2 linked regions of the Coturnix japonica genome follow. The protein of the gene in region 1 binds, or shares a complex with, the protein of each later gene. Links are inferred from orthologs where the notes say so. Each region holds a gene or a part of one and is shown in the gene's direction. Other genes may lie near its edges.

Region 1 (8,393 bases):
GCGGGGGGAACCCGTTCCGTGCCGAGCATCATCCGCGGGGCGCGGCGGTGGGGAGGGAGGATGTGACCCCTTCCCAGGGCGAGGGGGTGAGGGCGTCCTGGGCAGCTCTTGAGGATGATCCCCAGGGCAGCACCCACCGAAACTTTCCTCCCTCGGCGGCAGGAAGGTGATGCGGGGGGGCGGGTGCCGGTGACTTTCCGCTGCTGTTTGAAGAACGCTTCGGTCCTGGGAGGTGGGGGGTGAGGAGGTTCCGCTGCTGCCCCCACCCATTTTGGGGTGGGGGTGTCAGCGATGGAGCCACGCGGGGATGGATGTCTCTGGTTGATGGTTCTCGCACTCAAGCCAGGCACTGGCTTTGCTTTTCCCGATGCAAAGATTTCTATTCCTTTCAGTTCTACCGTTATGTGCACGTTTTCCCCCCGAGTCATGATATTAACAAGCCCCACAAAAACAAAAGAACAAAACACCTCTACACAAACGTGTGATACAAGCAGAGTGAGGAGCTGTGATTCCCAGCAGACAGCAGGTCTGGGTGCTGGGGGCAGAGTGGAACCCCATCCTGCTCAGCTGTCCCCTGCCCACGTATCTAAATAACCCCAGATTGACAGCAGGGCAGAGAAAACACCTTAACCACTGCAGCTAAATCCACCTGTGGCCATTAATCAGCCCCCTAAAAATATATTGCTATGTTTAATCCCAAACCACGAATTTACCAACCAAAGAATTATCAGGATAAACACTTCTAAAAGAAAGGACCATTCAAATCGCTCCTGTGTACCAACAGACCTCAAAAAGTGCCCCAAAGGTGATTTCTTTTTTCTTGCAGACCAAATGAAGCCTGCTAACAACAACCTGATTTCCTTAAGGACCCTTCAGGAGTAGCGTGAATATCTCCCCCCCTTCCCCCCCAACACCATATATCACCCAATTGGTTAAGAACAGACTTCCAAAGGACATATAAAATAACATAAAAAGATTTCCAAACTCCATCCATTGTGGCTTAGCAGCTTTTCTACGTGTATATTTTCCCCCTTTAACTCCAGTTAGAGTTTGACTGGAGCAATGCAGAATAGCACTGTTTTAACCTAATGAGCTTTCAGGTGTGCTCATCATGTTTGGCAGGAAACATGGGAGAGGAGACTTCTCTTCCTGATTGCTTCACGCTGTGTGTTTGTTGTATATGATAGTTTTGGTGGTGCCATCAGCAGCATGTTTCTTATTGCAGATGCCCCATCCCTGGAGGTGGCCAAGGCCAAGTTGGATGGGGGCCCTGGGCAGACTGATCTAATAGATGGCAACCAGCCTATGGCAGAGGGAGGTAGAAGTAGATAATCTTTAAGGTCCCTTCCAATCTAAGCCATTCTATGATTCTATGAAACAATGAGGGAAAGGATGTTATCTCTCCCTCTGGAAGTGGGAAGGAGCAAGTGGGACACATCAGTGCTGTGAGTGCACCAGGCATATCCCACCCCACAAAGAGCTCTATCCCAGTCACGGCCATTGCACCATGAGCAGTTCTTGGGTTATGTTTATCTCCATTACTCAGCCTCAAGTAGGGGTCAATTCCCATTATACATTTGTTGCTGAAAGACAAACATTGCACTGAGGGATGATCAACTGAAAGAGGCTGAACAGATGAAAGAAAGAGGAAAGGAAAGGTGATACAGCATCTGAGCAAGTGGCACTGGGACAGAACAAATATGTCATTGCTAAATATATGCTTTGGATTGATTTCATTTGTAACTTCAGGCTAAGCTAAGGACCAGCACAGCTGATAGGGAAGGATTTTGCTTTCCCTTTCCTAAACTTCTTCTAATCCTTGCAAAGCATTTGTGAAAAGCTGAGCTGCCCATGCTTCCTGAGCTGCACCAAACACACAGGGTAGATGTGACACTGAGGGACATGGTCAGTAGGCATTGTGGGGATGAGCTGATACTTGGTTTTGAGCCATCTGCCAGAGGACTTCAATGGCTATCTCAGCTTACTGTAGGATAAATCTCTCATCTTTTTTCTCCTCTCTTATAAAAATAATAAAACATGGAGGGTCTCCTGTTAGAAACTCATCCTATTATATCTCTTCCCTTCTTTCTCCAGCAGCCTCCAGTTCTGGAGTAATGCAGGCAGTCCCATGCATAAACAGATGCAGTCACAGCTAAGGATGCTCACACCACGTCTGCTTTGGTGCCAGTTTTTGGAGTTTACAGGCTCTGTTCAATGCTCAGTGCTTTCAAGTCACTGTCAAATCCATCCCCTCTGCCTGCCCCAATGGAGCTGAGTTTGCTGATTCTAAGCTGCGGGGAAGCTGACTGGAGTACTTGTCACTAGAAGACAAGACACATGCTCAAATCCCTTTTCTAATACTGCCACTCAGCCCTCCCTCCTCCCCTCAGGCTTTAATCTAGGCAGTGAGTGGGAAGGAAGGAGCAGGATTTCTCATCTCCACCTGACATCATCACTGCCCAGCCTGGGTACCAGCACAGGACAGTGCCATTAGCACAGAGGAGCATGTGCATCCTTTCCCTGTTCCATGTGGCAAAGTTGGGTTTGCCCTGGCTAAGCCCATGGGACCTCCCAGTGCTTCTTGTCCCACCAATGTGTGCTGGGTTGGAGACTGTGAGCAAAGGGAAACGTTGTCCCCAAAGACCCAAAGGGCTTAAAGGACTCCCACCACATAGCAAATTATGTTGTCTTTTCATCCCCCTCTCAAGACACTCAAGTAGGCTTAACAAGCCACTGGGGACTAGAACAAGAATATCTCCGTATCTAATGCTTACTGTAAGCAAAAGATGGATTACAAAATAGTCTGTTTGGTTTTAATTATTGGTGTGCTTGAGCTAGAAAAGCCTTCACGGAGTTGCACATTGTTTGTCATGGATGGAAAGAAGATGAACTGTTGGGCAGTGGGATTAAAAACAATAATTATTCACTCCAGGAATGACCTTTGTTTTTTTTTCTTCTAAGAGTTTAATACCAATTTTTTCAGAGCTTATGCTGTTGCAAGGACAGGAAGAGTTGACCAGAATGAAGAATGGCAAGGATCAAGGTCTTCTTCCTAGTACTGCCATAAGCCACTTTGCTGTTCCTCAGTTTCCCCATTGCCCTAGTGCGTTTCAGTTCTTGAACATGAGCAAATGAATTGTGGGCAGCTGGCAAAATGCAGCTTATTGCACTCCCAGCCAGGGAGATCAGACAAATCCAAAGTCTAGGAGACGATGGCTGAAGTTGCCCAACACCCCCTGTTCTACCTTTGCTGGCCTCTGCTCTGCATAGCCATGACCACCTCAGCAAAGAGAGATCTTTGCAAGGCAGCTGATGGCCAAAGCACAACAAGATGGGGAGAATTCCTTGCATGGCTGTATGCTTTGGACCCTTATAAAACTCGAGCAGGTTGCTGCACCCCTGGCACCCATGCCGCTATACAGGCTGTTACTCCAGCACAGCCTCCCCACACTGCCCTTCTCTCCCCTCCCCAAGGATCACCAGGGAAAATGCCTCCTCTGACTATTTTCAGTGCTCTCCTGCCACCACCCAGGAGGAATTATCTGCCTACTTCAACCCTCCGCTAATCCCTAAATTGCATCTGAACGGCACAGCTTAGTTTATTCTCATTTCATCTGGTAGTTTGAGTATTACGAAGGGATGAAATGGGCATGCAAAGTGGTGCTTTTATTTTCAAGAGCAGTAAAAAGTGTTTTATTTTTAGGATGCTCTTACTGAGGAAAGAATCTCTGGCAGGTCTTATCTCGCGGCTAATAATAGTGACCTCGCGTGCCCTGAGCGGTGCTGGTGCTGCCTCCTGCCTTCCCCGGCCTCCTGTTTTACATGCATTGCTTCTGATCAGCTCCTTAGAGGCTCTGAAATTACTGAGTCTAATAATCTAATAACAGAGTTTGCTCATAATTGTTAACAGCTTCTGCTCTGTGCTATTAGTGAGGGGGTAGCATTCATAATTAGAGATCCTAAATGAATACTGCAAGCAGGTTTTCTCCGCAGTCTTAGGAAGCCATCCCTATGTTACCTTCTTTAAAATCCCATTTGGAGATCCTGAGACTGGGCAGCTTGTGGCCAGAGCACCCTTTTAGATGCAAGCACCTGTTCAGATGTAAACTATCTGCTTACCAGCAGTTTCTGCTGTTAACTTTACTATAAATTTTGCTTCCTACGCACAGAGAGTTTTCTTATTTAGGCTGTTGATAGCAAATGGATCAGAATCTGAATTTATTTTGCACTACCATTAAACTAGTGCAGTTCCACCAGTGACAGCGGTGCTGCTCCTAGCTTGTGGTCACCATTTGTCCCTGTAGCACCTGAGCGCACCAAGTGCATGGCATAAAAACACACATTGAGGTTTGTGTCTTTTCTTAAAGCAGAATTTGCTGGGGCTGTTACACTCCAGCGTGGTGTTCCTGCAGCTTGTCATCAAAATGAGAAGCATGCTTGAGAAAGTATAAATAGAAATTCATTTTAGTAATGCAAATCCCGCAGTCCTATTCTGGGCAGGGAAAATCCCTATATCTTTTTTTTTTTTTTTAAAGAAGTGTGATGGTCTCGTTTTAAGGCAAGGTTTATTGGGTTTAATGCACTCAACCTGTGCATTACAGTGGAGGTTCTCCCCCACCATTTAAATATATTTGTCTCTGATCAACATAACCTTTTTGTGCTTTAAATCCTTGCAAATTACTTTTGGTTATGGCCACCTCCTCTTACTCACTCTGTCATATCTACTTAAGCATTTTTTTTTTGGCCATAAGTCCCCTCTTTTCTTTTTTTTTTCCTACTTTGCAATGGGAAAATAGTAAAGCAAAGAGAAACAAAGTGTTGTAACTGGATGATCTTAAAGGTCCCTTCCAACCCAAGCCGTTCTATGATTCTATGATTTAATTATTCTTTTTCCCAAATTGCCACATTGAGGATTGGGATTTCCCTTGTATTGACATCTCCAATCTAGTTTTGAAGTCATTTATACACTGTGCGCTCATTCCTGCACTTTTGGTTGGGGCATTGTATGAAATGGTGCATCATTTTGCTTCCTGGAAACCTGCTGCTTATTGGGTGTTTGAATCCACTTTCACTGCATAGAATAGGACTCACAAAATATAGAAAGAGTACCTGTAGGAAAGGTGAGGAAAATAAAGTCCTGATATCCAGACTATACTTAAAACACCCCAATTTCTACTCTTTATTGCCTTTTTTAGCTTATAAATCTTCTGTCTCAGTATCTTTAATCTCCAATATGAATCTTAACTGCTCCGCGTAATGACTTTGCAATGCCCTCTTTCTATTAGTTGGCGAACACCAGCTGACAGGGCACAAAGTGGCAGTAAAAATCCTGAACAGACAGAAAATACGCAGCCTGGATGTGGTTGGGAAGATCAAACGAGAAATTCAAAACCTGAAACTCTTCCGGCACCCTCATATTATCAAGCTGTAAGTAGATGTTCTGCCATGCGTTCAGCTTACTCCTCTATCTGCAGAGACTTCACACGTTGACTTGTTTTCAAGAGATGTCTTATGGTTGTACAGAGTGGTAGATGTGTGGTCAGGTTTTTGCATGTTGAAGCCAAAATGCTGCTATTGTAATGCCTTCCTGTTAACTTGCATGGGGGCACAATCCACACATTGAGGAACTCTGGAAGGTGTTTTTCCTACTGAGGGGTTTGGGCCATTATACCAACCATGAGCCTCACCAAGGTTTGCTCTGCTAAACCTGCCCAAACTTCCACTTTTCCATTCAGAAGTCATTATAAAGATGCATAGACAGGATCTGTGCTTTCCTGCGTTGGGATTTTATGAGGAGTCTCTATGATTCTCCTTTGTTGGGTCAGTATCTCATGACTTGAAGTGATGGAGAATCGTGCCTGAGGAATAACAGCATGAGCAGGCTGTTAGAGTGAAGCCTTGGCCTGAAGTCAATAGGATTTACGTTTTCATGGCCTGATTATCCATTGCTTAAAGGAACATATATATTTTTATTTATTATTCAGACTTAAGTTTTCAACATTGCTACTCTGATGAATCTGAATTTAAGTTGTAAATCAGCACCTGCACTCCTGCCTCTGGGATTCCATCTCAATCCCTGGTTTGTGTAGCCAGTTCACATTAATGAGGCACTCGATAATATCTTTGGCATTTCTATAAAAGAAAGCTGTTGAATGGTAACTGCAAGGATAAGTTGACATTTAGGTCAGCCTTAAAACTGGCATGAGATATAGCAAATACCTGGGACTTAGAGGAAAGGGAAAACAAATTCTCCCTAAGTTAAATAACTAACCATGCAGCAACTGTTGACTTTAGAGTAACTTCAGAGTTCCGTGGATTTATTGGAGAACAGATTGGTATTATTTCACAAAAAAAAGGCAGCAAAAGTCCTGGCTGCTCATCCAGCATCCTTGCAGTCTGCACACACATTCATCAAACAAACCATGAAAGCCTGGAGATTAAATTCAGTTGATCAGTCTCCTCTAAATACTGCAGCCCTGAAATACACTGATGAAGAGGTGAAGGGGAGTCTATGGCACATGAGGTTCTTGTTTAAACCCTTGTGGTGTCTCGTCACTTTATGTGTATATACAAGAAATGGTAGTGCTATTAACTTAGATGTCCAAGAGCAAAACACTTCAGAAAAGTTAAGCTGATCCCATTGATCTTTACTGGGACTGTCACCTGTTCACTTGATCACCTCTGAAAATGAAGCCTATTTATCAGCTGTGAAAAATAAACAAATAAAATAGCAAAAGCAAACAGTATGTCTGAAATAAATCACAGGGAGCCTCAGCTGGTGCTGCTATGCATTGCTACAGCTGCTTTGACCTCAGATCATTGCCATCGGGTTACGCCGGATGGGAAACTGAAGTGCATTTGTAGCACTCAGGGATCATTTAACAGAGGTGGAGGGTAAATCTGCACATCAAGGAGGCAACTCTTTTACTTTCCTTTACGTTTATAATTCTAGAATATAGAGGAGCTTAATGTTTGAAGAATGATGTTAATCTTTTGGGGTGCTTGTCTTTGTTTCTATGCCTTTCCAAGGGTAGCTCCATGTAGTATCTAGATCTCCTTTTTTATATCTTCAGTATGAAGTAAACCAAACATACTCAGTTCCCAATCCCATTTTAATGAAGTTTTGACTTCTGAAGATGTTGTTGCGCATCTTAGCCAAAATGGAAACTTGAATGTCAGGAAAGTCCTAAATGCAATAGGGTTGTCTGGCAGAGATTTCAGAGGATTATTTAAAAGATTGAAGCAAAAGGGTCAATCTGTGAAAGAGATCCTTTCATAGACAAGTGAAAGATTATCCTGACGTGCCCCTTGAAATAAGAGATGGCTTTTTCAGCAATGAAAAATGATTATAAACACAAGATCCATGTGCTTATGTTAAGGGTTGACTAGAAGCTAGTAATCTGTTTCAAAGCCTTTCCCTTTCTTATTAATATATTTTTTCTTTGTGATTTTGAAGGTACCAGGTCATCAGCACACCAACGGACTTCTTCATGGTCATGGAATATGTATCTGGTGGTGAATTATTTGATTACATCTGTAAGCACGGACGTGTAAGTGCTAGTACCATGTCAGCCCCAAACTCCTGTGTGGGAAGAGGATTATGTTCTGAAGTAAAATGGCTGCTAAAGGGAAGACAACTAAGGTTAAGGCCCAGAATAGAAGCTGCTTCACAGCAATCCCATCTGGAGAGTCTCATACTTGCCTTGCACATAAGATGTGTGCCATTTTTTTTCAGTGTTCCATGATGTATTTCGATATGCAAACTAAAATATCCAAGGTAATGTCTTGCTTAGTGAAGACATTTGGAAAACCACCATATCTATAGTTTTTAGCTATAGGTTGCCTAACCAACCCCCTGGTTCAGCAGCAGATTTATGTGCATGCAGGGCATTGGAGCGGGGGAGCACTCAGTGTGGTCTCCATCCCAGTCATTCTCCTCCTCCAGACTCCCCTTTGGCTCCTCATCAGGCTTTTTGAAGGCTTTTTAAAGTATGTGGCTTATCTGAGCAGCATTTTCAAATGCCAGTGTTCCTACTGGGTATAAACCATCTGAGGAGTAGGCTGAGTGCATGAAACATGATATTATGGTTATAGAGAAAATGACTGGAGAACATTCTTGTGGGTAGAAAGCAATCAGGGGGCTAAAATGTTCATCCAAAACCATGCTTTAGGTGAAGGATCAGCCCAGTGTGATCTTCTCTATATCAACCCAGTATCTTCTCTATACTACAAAAACTCAATATGTTGTCTTGGATTAGTGCACTGGTAGATGGAGTTGACTCCATTTACTTTTCTACACAGAGTTCTTATTTCCAGCTCATCTTGCTCACTTTGGATCTTTTCAGTGACCAATATGCATTCCATCTGAACTCCCATATTCAGAAACTAGTTTT
Region 2 (8,965 bases), about 19 Mb from region 1:
CCAAGAAACACGGGGACATCCAGCACGGCTGAGCGGCAACAAACACATCCCTCCTGTGCCACCCATCAGACTCACTGACCTTCTGTGTGCCCAACGGCACAGCCTCCCCTGCCACCACCGCTGTCACTACTGCCAGACATGGCTGCCCAGAGAGTAGCCATCATCGGTGCTGGTGCCTCCGGCTTGTGCGCTCTGAAATGCTGCCTGGACGAAGGGCTGACCCCCACCTGCTTTGAGAGGAGCGGGGACATCGGGGGGCTGTGGCGGTTCGAGGTAAGCACCATGCTGTACCGAGTTGCCCTAGGCAGCAGCGCAGACAGGATCGCTTACTGTCAGCTAATGAAGCACCGCTGGGACTTCCCCTTGGTGCAGAATGGGATGCTGGTAGTGCAGGATTGGTCCTGCCTAAGGAACCACTGCTGGGGCCAGCTTTCAGCCCAGGGCTTGTTTTCCTGCCTCAGGGTGAATGTTTCCTATCCTTCCCTTCCCAGCCTGTCCTGCTCCCACCTATCCTTCCCACTGGTCCCACCTGCTCCCCCCCCTCCAGCTGCCCCACTGCTGCTGGCATTACTTTCCTATCCTTCCCAGCCCCTTCTTTCTCTCAAAGTCCTGGCTGCTCCTCATCCTTTACCTCTCCTACCTCCCACACACAGGCACAGGCCGCTGCCTTTGTTCTCCTTGCCAAGGGAAAGCCCCAGAGCTTGTTTCTGCACTCGTCAAGTGATGCCAGTCTCTTCTTCCCCAGAAGAGCCAACCTGGCATGCTCCGCTGCCCTGCCCAGCCTTTGCCATGAGCATGACAACCTGGGAAATGCAGGGGTTGGCATGGGGTTTGGGGCTGCTTGGCTAACATGACACTGGTTTTGCCCAATGGTAGAGCAGAGCCAATGCATGAGAGCCAGAGGCTGAGCTGCTGGGGCAGATACCAGGATCTGGGCTGTCTCAGTCCTGTGGGACTGATAGGATAGTCATAACATAGGTGGGTTTGGGGCTGCCATACATTCCCCTGGCCAGCACTGAGCCATGCCCCATACCTGCAGGAGAAGCCCGAGGAGGGCCGCGCCAGCATCTACCACTCCGTCATCATCAACACTTCCAAGGAGATGATGTGCTTCAGCGACTTCCCCATCCCCGACGACTTCCCCAACTACATGCACCACTCCAAGATCATGGAGTACTTCCGCATGTACGCCCAGCGCTTTGACCTGCTCCGCCACATCCGCTTCAGGGTGAGCACTGGGGGCCGGGGGCAGCACGGGGACAGGACCAACCACAGGGACACTGACATCTGCTCCCCTCACCCAGACCAGTGTGCGTCGCGTGTCCAAGAGCCCTGACTTTGCCACCACGGGCCGCTGGGAGGTGGAGACCGAGAGCGAGGGCAAGCAGCAGTCAGCCATCTTCGACGCCGTGTTGGTGTGCACCGGGCACCACAGCGACGCACACCTCCCGCTGCACGCCTTCCCTGGTACGCTGCCATGTGCCCCTGCCCCAGGGATGCTTTCCTCTTCCCCAAGACTCTTCACAGCTCTATCCCCTCTGGCTGAGCCTTGACCCCCGCCTGTGGTTGCTCCCCTCACGTCAAAAACCCCAAAGCCAAGCAGGGTGCTGAGGGTGGCACCGACCATCTCCCAGGTTGGAGATGCCACCACCTCCCTGGGTACCATCCCTGGGCTGTTCCCACTGGGCTCAGCCTGCTCCCAGAGCCCACACCTAGCTCAAGGAAATGACAGCCACCCCCACCCAGCATGGCCCTGCTCTCTCCTGCAGGACTGGACAAGTTTGAAGGCTGGTACCTGCACAGCCGGGACTACAAGAGCCCACAGGCCTTTGCGGAGAAGCGGGTCATCGTGGTCGGCACCGGGAACTCAGGCATCGACATCGCGGTGGAGCTGAGCCACACAGCCAAGCAGGTGATGTCCCAAGACAACCAGGCTCAGCACGCCCCTGCTCCTTGCTCACAGCCTGTTTTTATTCCTGGACCATGCAGGTCTGTCTGAGTTTGTACCAGCATTGCACTTCACATTAAGTGTCCCTTCTCACTTCTACCAGGTCTTCCTCAGCACCAAGCGTGGGACATGGGTGATGCACCGAGTGGCAGAAGGTGGGTACCCCTTTGACTTCTCTTACATCAATCGCTTCATCCAGCTCCTCCAAAGCCTGCTGCCCCTCTCCGTGAGCAACTTCATGCTGGAGAGGAAACTCAACATGCGCTTTGACCACGCTCTGTATGGTCTGAAGCCAAAACACCGGTGAGTGTTCGTGGCAGAGTTATGGGGGCCTGCCTGCACTCGGTCCTGCATGAGCTCTGTTTGTTCTCACCAGGGTCTTCAACCAGCACCTGACCATCAACGACGACCTGCCCAACCGTGTCATTTCGGGCAGGGTGCGGGTGAAGCCAAACATCAAGGAGTTCACGGAGACATCTGCCATCTTTGAGGATGGCACTAAGGAAAACATCGATGCTGTAGTCTTTGCCACAGGGTACAGCTTCTCCTTCCCCTTCCTTGAGGACTATGTGAAGGTGGTGGAGAATCAGGTCCCCCTCTACAAGTTTATGTTCCCAGTTGACCTGGAGAAGCCGACGCTGGCTTTCATTGGCTACATCCAGCCTCTGGGAGCCATCATGCCCATCTCGGAGATGCAGAGCCGCTGGGCCACCCGTGTCTTTAAGGGTAAGCGAGGCGAGCCGGGAATGCACTTCTCTGGGTATGGCAAGGCCAAATTATTCAGTTGCTGGCATGTGCTCCTCCTTTTATCATCCTTCTATGAAGGGATATAAAACATCACTGCATTTTGCAACAAGTGTTGCACTTTATTTCATCACATACAGCTGGTAATGGATCTCCTCACCTGCAAACCATTTTCTCTCTCTTATTTCTTTGCCCATGCCTCTCTCTTGCCCCATTTGGTGGCCCAAAGGCTTTTCCTGTGGCACAGCAGCCACGCTGGGCGCAGAGGGACACAACTGCTGATAGCACAGCTCTCTGCTTCTCCTTCTGTAGGTCTGCACAAGCTGCCCCCAACCAGCACCATGTTGGCTGACATCACACAAGCCAAGGAGAAAATAGCCAAGCGGTAAGAACCCTGCGGGGCACCAACCTGCCACCACCTCCTCGATGAGCACACACAGAGCCTGTCCCTGCCCACAGGTACGTGGCCAGCCGGCGGCACACCATCCAGGTGGATTACATCCCCTACATGGACGAGCTCGCCTGCCAGCTGGGCGTCAAGCCCAACGTGCCGCTGCTTTTCCTCACTGACCCCAGGCTGGCGCTGGAGGTGCTGCTGGGGCCCTGCACGCCCTACCAGTACCGCCTGCATGGCCCCGGCGCATGGCAGGGTGCGCGGGAGGCCATCCTGACTCAGCAGCAGCGCGTGGAGCACCCGCTGCGGGGCAGGGCCGGGCACGGCCGCTCTGTGCCGCCCTGCAGCTCGGTGCCACACAGCTTCAAGGTCCTCTTCAGCCTCGGACTCATCGTGGCCACGCTCATCTACGTCTCGCTGTCCCCATAGCCCCTAGTGAAGAGGGCTTTGGCCATCCCCTAACTCTGCCTTGGGTTTCGGTGTCGCTGGGAGGGGCACGGGGCACGTTTTCCTCATGAGAAAGGCAATAAAGCTCGTCCTTGTTCTCCATGAAGGCTCAGGCTCTGGGCTGCGCTCATTAACGCCCGCACTGCACAACGCAAACTACTCGCACCAGGCCGCGCTCCCACAGCAAAGATGGCCGCTCTCCCGGAAGCCACACCGCCCTCAAACAAAATGGCTGCCCGGTACCATAGAGAGCAGCGCGGGGGCGGGACAGAGCGCCCCGCAGAGGCTGGCGGTGGAGGCGGCCGCCATTTTGATCGGAGGCGGAGAGCGGGGCGGCGGCGGCGGCGGCGGGCAGGTGGGGCTGCGAGCGGGGCTGCCATGGGGGGCTGCGCTGCCCCCGTGTGCTGTGGGGCCGGGTTGGGTGCTGGGTGTCACGGCGGGGCGGGGGGCCCGGAGCGGACAGGAGGCGGCAGGGGGTGGGGCTGTCAGGGCGGCGGTGCGGGGGGTGACGCTGTGGGCGGTGGTGCGGGTGTCGGTGCCGTTGGTACCGTAACGCCGCGCCCGGTGACACCGCTATGGCCGGCACTGTGCCGGGCGGTGCTGCAGCGGCCCTGCACATCTCATCGTTGCCGTGGGGTGAGCCGTGGGCTCGCTGCCCTCTGAGGGCTTAAGGAATACTCGAGTAATTGCCCCGTAATGGTTTAAAGCCAGGCTTTGGCTGGCGGCCTCACCCGGCCCTCCGCACATAGCTTGATGTTCTAAGCAAATCCGCAGCTGTCACAACGCACCCAGTGAATCAAGGCTGGCTCCCTGCAGAACACAGCCGGCTGCCCCAGCGATGGGCTCAGCCCATGTATCGCCCGGCGCTGGGCAGACACGCAGCCCTGGGGTCGGCTATGAGCGCAGCCTGCTCAGCAGCACAGCCTGCACACACCGTGTTGTTACTCCTTGCCCTGGCCGCACTCCAGCCTGGCCGATTCCACTCCTGCTACTTGCAGCACTGTTGCTGTGCCAGCCGTGAAGCCGTGCTGCTCTGCCCGCAGGCTCACCCACACTCGTTGGGAGCTGTTAACAGCTGCTACTTTCACTCTCCGGCTGTTTTCCTGCTGGCTGTAGCGTTGTGTTCTGTGCAGGCTGACTGTGGGGTTGTGAAAGAGGCTCTGTTAGTGCCGGGAGACAATCTGCCACTCAAGGGTGGCTTTATTTCTCTCATCAGCCCTTCTACTTGTGTAGGATGTGGTCTAACTCACTTTTGTTTTAGGGTATAACAATTACCGGCTTAACTATCACGATGGCTCATAAGGGTATGCCTATAATTAGTTCAGCCTGTCTCGCTTGTTAAATTCCCCTTCGGCTCCCAAACTTGGCATCGGGGAAGAACTTTGGGCCTTTTTTAGGATTGCTGTCACTCTGTGCTGGCAAAAGGCAGCGGGAAGCAGCACCCTGCTCCCTGCTGGAGCCCACGGACATAGGCAACACTGCCTTCTTCCCCCTCTCACAGCGGCTGCTGAGCTGTCATGGGAAACACCACCAGCGAGCGAGTGTCCGGTGAGCGCCATGGCTCCAAGTCCCACCGCTCCGACGGCTCCGGCGCTGCCCATCCCACAAAGGAGCACCCACACAAGATCATGGTGGGCAGCACAGATGACCCCAGTGTTTTCAGCTCCCACGACTCCAAGGTAGGGGGCTGGCTGCTGCCTTTGTTGTCCTCACGTCGGGTGCTGGGTGGTGTCCCATAGGGGGCTGTGCTGGGCTGAGGCTGCTTTCAAGGAGAGGATTTTTGGTTGGGAGCAGCCCTCTGTTTAATTCAAGCTAAATACAGGCAGGGTGGCAGTGTGCCGGGGTACAGCTTTCATAGCAGGAACCACAAGCTGAGCTGCAACACAGGAGAAACATCTCCTGGGATGGATGGGTGGAGCTGCCTGCCCAGCCTGAGGTTACTATTGTCTGCAATGTGCAAATGGAGGTGGAGGGAAATGAAACGGCTCTGGTGTTCTCTGCTCAGATTCCAGGGGACAAGGAGTTTGTTTCATGGCAGCCTGACCTGGAGGAGTCAGTGAAGCCATCCCAGCAGGCTCGGCCCACTGTCATCCGCTGGGCTGATGGAGGCAAAGAGGTCTTCATCTCTGGATCCTTCAACAACTGGAGCACCAAGATCCCGCTCATCAAGAGGTAGCTATACCCCTTGGCTCACCCCGTGTTCTCCTCCATCAGTCGCAGGGAGCGTTTTTCTCAGTGCCATTTGCTGTTCCCTTTGCCCAACCTGGCTTCTCACAGTTCATCATGCCCGAGCTCGAGGTGTGAGCACAAATATGCAGCCAGCATCCTGCCTGGGGGCTGCTGCAGTGGTAGGGAGAAACTGTGAAATGGGACAGGACAGGATGGGCCTCCTTGCTTTCCCAATTACATGCCACACAGCAGCCATCCTGGCAGCAGGGCCCTGCCCAGGTGTGCTGCAGCTCTCTGAAGCTTGGTGGCCCTTCTCCTTGCCTGCTTGTGTTGCTGCTAGAGGGAGTTGTTTGGTTGTCCCTCACCTGTCCTCCTTCCATAGCAGTGTCCTCGTTGTTCTGCAGTACACCTGTGTTTTCTGTGGAAACACTATGTAGGACTGGGCATAATCCCAGCAAATACCTGCCACGGGATTATCTCGACTGCAGACTTCACAGGCACTTCATGCTTTCATCCTGCAGTACCAGCACAGGTTTAGATTCGTTGTTCACTCGCCCTGTCCAGTGTGTCTTGCACTTGCCATCATGTGATCCCACACGATGTGTGGGGCAGGGCTGCAAGCTGAGCTCCTGTTTGCCTTGTGTCCTGATTGGAACAGATGATCTTAGTGTTTTTTTCCAACCCTAATGAGTCTACGATTCTATGGGCCCTGAGGGATCTGAATCATCCTGGGGCTCTGGGCACTCGCACCTGCTCTGGCCATGCCTTGAGTGATGAGCAATCCTAACCCAGCACATGGGTGTTTGGGTCGAGGGGGCAGGCAGTGCATGACAAAGTGCTCTTCTCTGGGACAGCATCCAAAGCATCACTGCAGTAATGGTGTTGTACATCTGTTCTCTCTGCACAGCCACAACGACTTCGTTGCTATCCTGGACCTCCCAGAAGGAGAGCACCAGTACAAGTTTTTTGTGGATGGCCAGTGGGTCCACGACCCATCCGAGGTAACTCTCAAAGCTTTATCACTGCAAGTCTTGACCTCTTTGGGGCCCAAAACATGATGTAAACTCAGTAGAGGGGAAGTAGAAAGGGCAGAGGGGTAATGGCGTAAGAAAGGCAGCTCAGGCTGGGAGAAGCTGGGAAGCATGAGTACACTTCAACTGAGGGTGAACGTAGGAAGCCTCTTACCTTAGTTCTTTCCAGCCCGTGGTCACCAGCCAGATGGGGACGATTAACAATCTGATTCACGTCAAGAAGTCTGACTTTGAGGTGTTCGACGCTTTAAAAGTGGATTCCCTGGAGAGCTCCGAAACCTCAGGTCGGGGTGAGTTTTTGTGGCATTACAGCTTTGCATGTGCTATTTTCCACTTCCTACTCTGAGACTCACTGCTCTGGGGACAAACAGCTCCCCTTAGCAGGGGTGTGGGCCCACACACACAGAGATTAATGTTTGGCAGCATGTCCTGTCCCTGGCCTGAGCAGCTCCTAGCTGAGGCATTGTCTCCAAGGAGGCTGTGCTGGTGTAACCTGTTCTGTGCTAGCATGGTCCCAGAGCAGGGCTGGTGCCTGCCTGCGGCTGAGATGGCCATGTCAGACCAGTGAACACTGGGAACACATCTCTCCTTTCTGTCTGCTCAACTGTGAGTAAGTCATCTGATCTGGGGTAGAAGCCAGGTGAGAGCAGGATCCAGGCTATTTTCAGCAGCTGCTCTTGGTTTTCACACCGAGGCTATTTGTACTATTGCTAGCGCATCAGAAAGCTCTCTCCACTCGTGTTACAGCAGCGGGTTGAGTTACCACACAGATGCTGGCAGTGCTGGCTTGGTGAGTGGTGCTGGCAGGTAGTTCAGTCATGTTTCAGTCCAGGGTGCTCTGAGCACAGCCTGCCTTCCATGCTTTAAGTCCCGTCTCAGATAGAGCCTCAGCTCCAGGCCCTTGCCCAAGCCCAGAAAGAAGCCATCAAGCTTCATCTCCAAGGAGGTGGAACCTTCAGGGTGCTGGCTGTTCCAAAATGAGCAGGTCAGATGTGGATGGGAGATGCGATCTGTCCATCTTACAGTGACCACAAGCTCCTGAGGACCCTCACACAGGCTGAACAGCTTCTGTATCCTCTTTTGGAGCCTCTGTGTCAGGCAGTTGTGCAGATGTACTGCTTGCTGTGCCCCTGCGCCTGCTGCAACGGGTGCTGCTCTGGGGCTGGGTGCTGCTTGGAACAGGGAGGGGGACCCAGCAGTGCTGAGAGTTGTGTGCAGGGGTCCTGGGGTGGATTCCACAGGGTGCCTGTGTTGTGTCGGTGCATGTGCCACCTTACAGGCGTGCTTGGATACACCCACAGCTTGCCTGGCTGCTTGTTCTGCTGAGGAAAGTCTGATCTGTTGCTATATGATACGTGGCTAAGGGGAAACTGAGGTCTGAAGACCCCTCTGAAACAGAACAAGTCACCTTCTATTCCCTAGATGCTGTGGTTTCTAAATATGCTGAGCCTGTACAGCTGCCCCACTACAGGCTGATCCCAGCCTTCTCAGTACCAGTCGCAGACTGGGCTCATGAAACACTTCAATGCCTGAAAGACCCTGCTGGGTTCTTCTCAGCATCCTAGGAGCTGATCAGTGATCGAGCCACCTTATGCCTCTTCCCTTTAGACTTATCAAGTTCACCACCTGGACCTTACGGCCAAGAGATGTATGTGTACCGGCCTGAGGAACGCTTCAAATCCCCTCCCATCCTCCCGCCTCACCTCCTCCAGGTCATCCTCAACAAGGACACCAATATCTCGGTGGGTACCAGCACACAGCTGCATACAGAGAGCAACATAGAGGCCAGAAGGGGATTCCTGTCTGCAAGAAGCCTGCTCAGCCCTTAGCTGGTGCCTGGCCCTTGCTCTTTGTTGAGAAGAGCATTGATTTTTCTCAGTGACCACTCTGCCTTGTGCTGAGCCGAGCTCTGTTCATGTTCTGAACAGCCACCCAGCAGCTCAGATTGTCTGAGATGGCAGCTCCTTGCTTCTCATGCTGGGGGTCAGGGTTCTGCTATTCTCCTCTGACGCTTCTCTTGTCCTAGTGTGACCCGGCCCTGCTGCCCGAACCCAACCACGTCATGCTCAATCACCTCTACGCACTCTCCATCAAGGTAAGGGGAGGCCCCAGCGGCCACGGGCTGGGGGAAGGGGAGTGACTCCCAGAGCTCATAGAATGTGGACGGCCCTGGGGTGGTGATGGTGGCACAGAGGTCCAAGGACTCACCTGGGGATTGCTTGGCTGCCTGGT

The links.
Region 2: the proteins of PRKAA2 (region 1) and PRKAB2 are in contact, whole or in part, in a crystal structure (PDB 6B2E), measured with the Homo sapiens proteins. The link is inferred for Coturnix japonica from reciprocal best matches to the Homo sapiens genes PRKAA2 and PRKAB2. Residues at the interface, in NP_006243.2 of Homo sapiens: Gly9, Arg10, Val11, Lys12, Ile13, Thr21, Asn48, Arg49, Val58, Gln66, Gln81, Val82, Ile83, Ser84, Thr85, Pro86, Thr87, Asp88, Phe89, Met134, Met164, Ser165, Asp166, Gly167, Glu168, Phe169, Leu189, Ala191, Glu194, Pro253; in NP_005390.1 of Homo sapiens: Val60, Ser61, Gln64, Glu67, Asp68, Ser69, Thr73, Gln74, Ala76, Pro78, Thr79, Val80, Ile81, Arg82, Ile106, Ser108, Val113, Ile115, Val155, Ser158, Asp159, Phe160, Glu161, Phe163, Asp164, Lys167, Leu168, Gln191, Met193, Tyr194.

The regions. Positions count from the first base shown.
Region 1 is NC_029523.1:23,037,705-23,046,097, forward strand, and holds part of PRKAA2 (5'-AMP-activated protein kinase catalytic subunit alpha-2), read left to right. Parts: intron 1-137; exon of another isoform or gene 138-880; intron 881-5,285; coding exon 5,286-5,427; intron 5,428-7,456; coding exon 7,457-7,550; intron 7,551-8,393. UniProt on the Homo sapiens protein: Catalytic subunit of AMP-activated protein kinase (AMPK), an energy sensor protein kinase that plays a key role in regulating cellular energy metabolism.
Region 2 is NC_029523.1:4,165,773-4,174,737, reverse strand, and holds the start of PRKAB2 (5'-AMP-activated protein kinase subunit beta-2), read left to right. Parts: upstream 1-3,813; 5' UTR 3,814-3,888; intron 3,889-4,395; exon of another isoform or gene 4,396-5,034; 5' UTR 5,035-5,050; coding exon 5,051-5,212; intron 5,213-5,538; coding exon 5,539-5,705; intron 5,706-6,609; coding exon 6,610-6,703; intron 6,704-6,902; coding exon 6,903-7,023; intron 7,024-8,341; coding exon 8,342-8,475; intron 8,476-8,759; coding exon 8,760-8,828; intron 8,829-8,965. Other genes in the region: dimethylaniline monooxygenase [N-oxide-forming] 5-like, read left to right, coding at 139-273, 1,040-1,228, 1,305-1,467, 1,770-1,912, 2,052-2,251, 2,325-2,674, 3,005-3,077, 3,152-3,515. UniProt on the Homo sapiens protein: Non-catalytic subunit of AMP-activated protein kinase (AMPK), an energy sensor protein kinase that plays a key role in regulating cellular energy metabolism.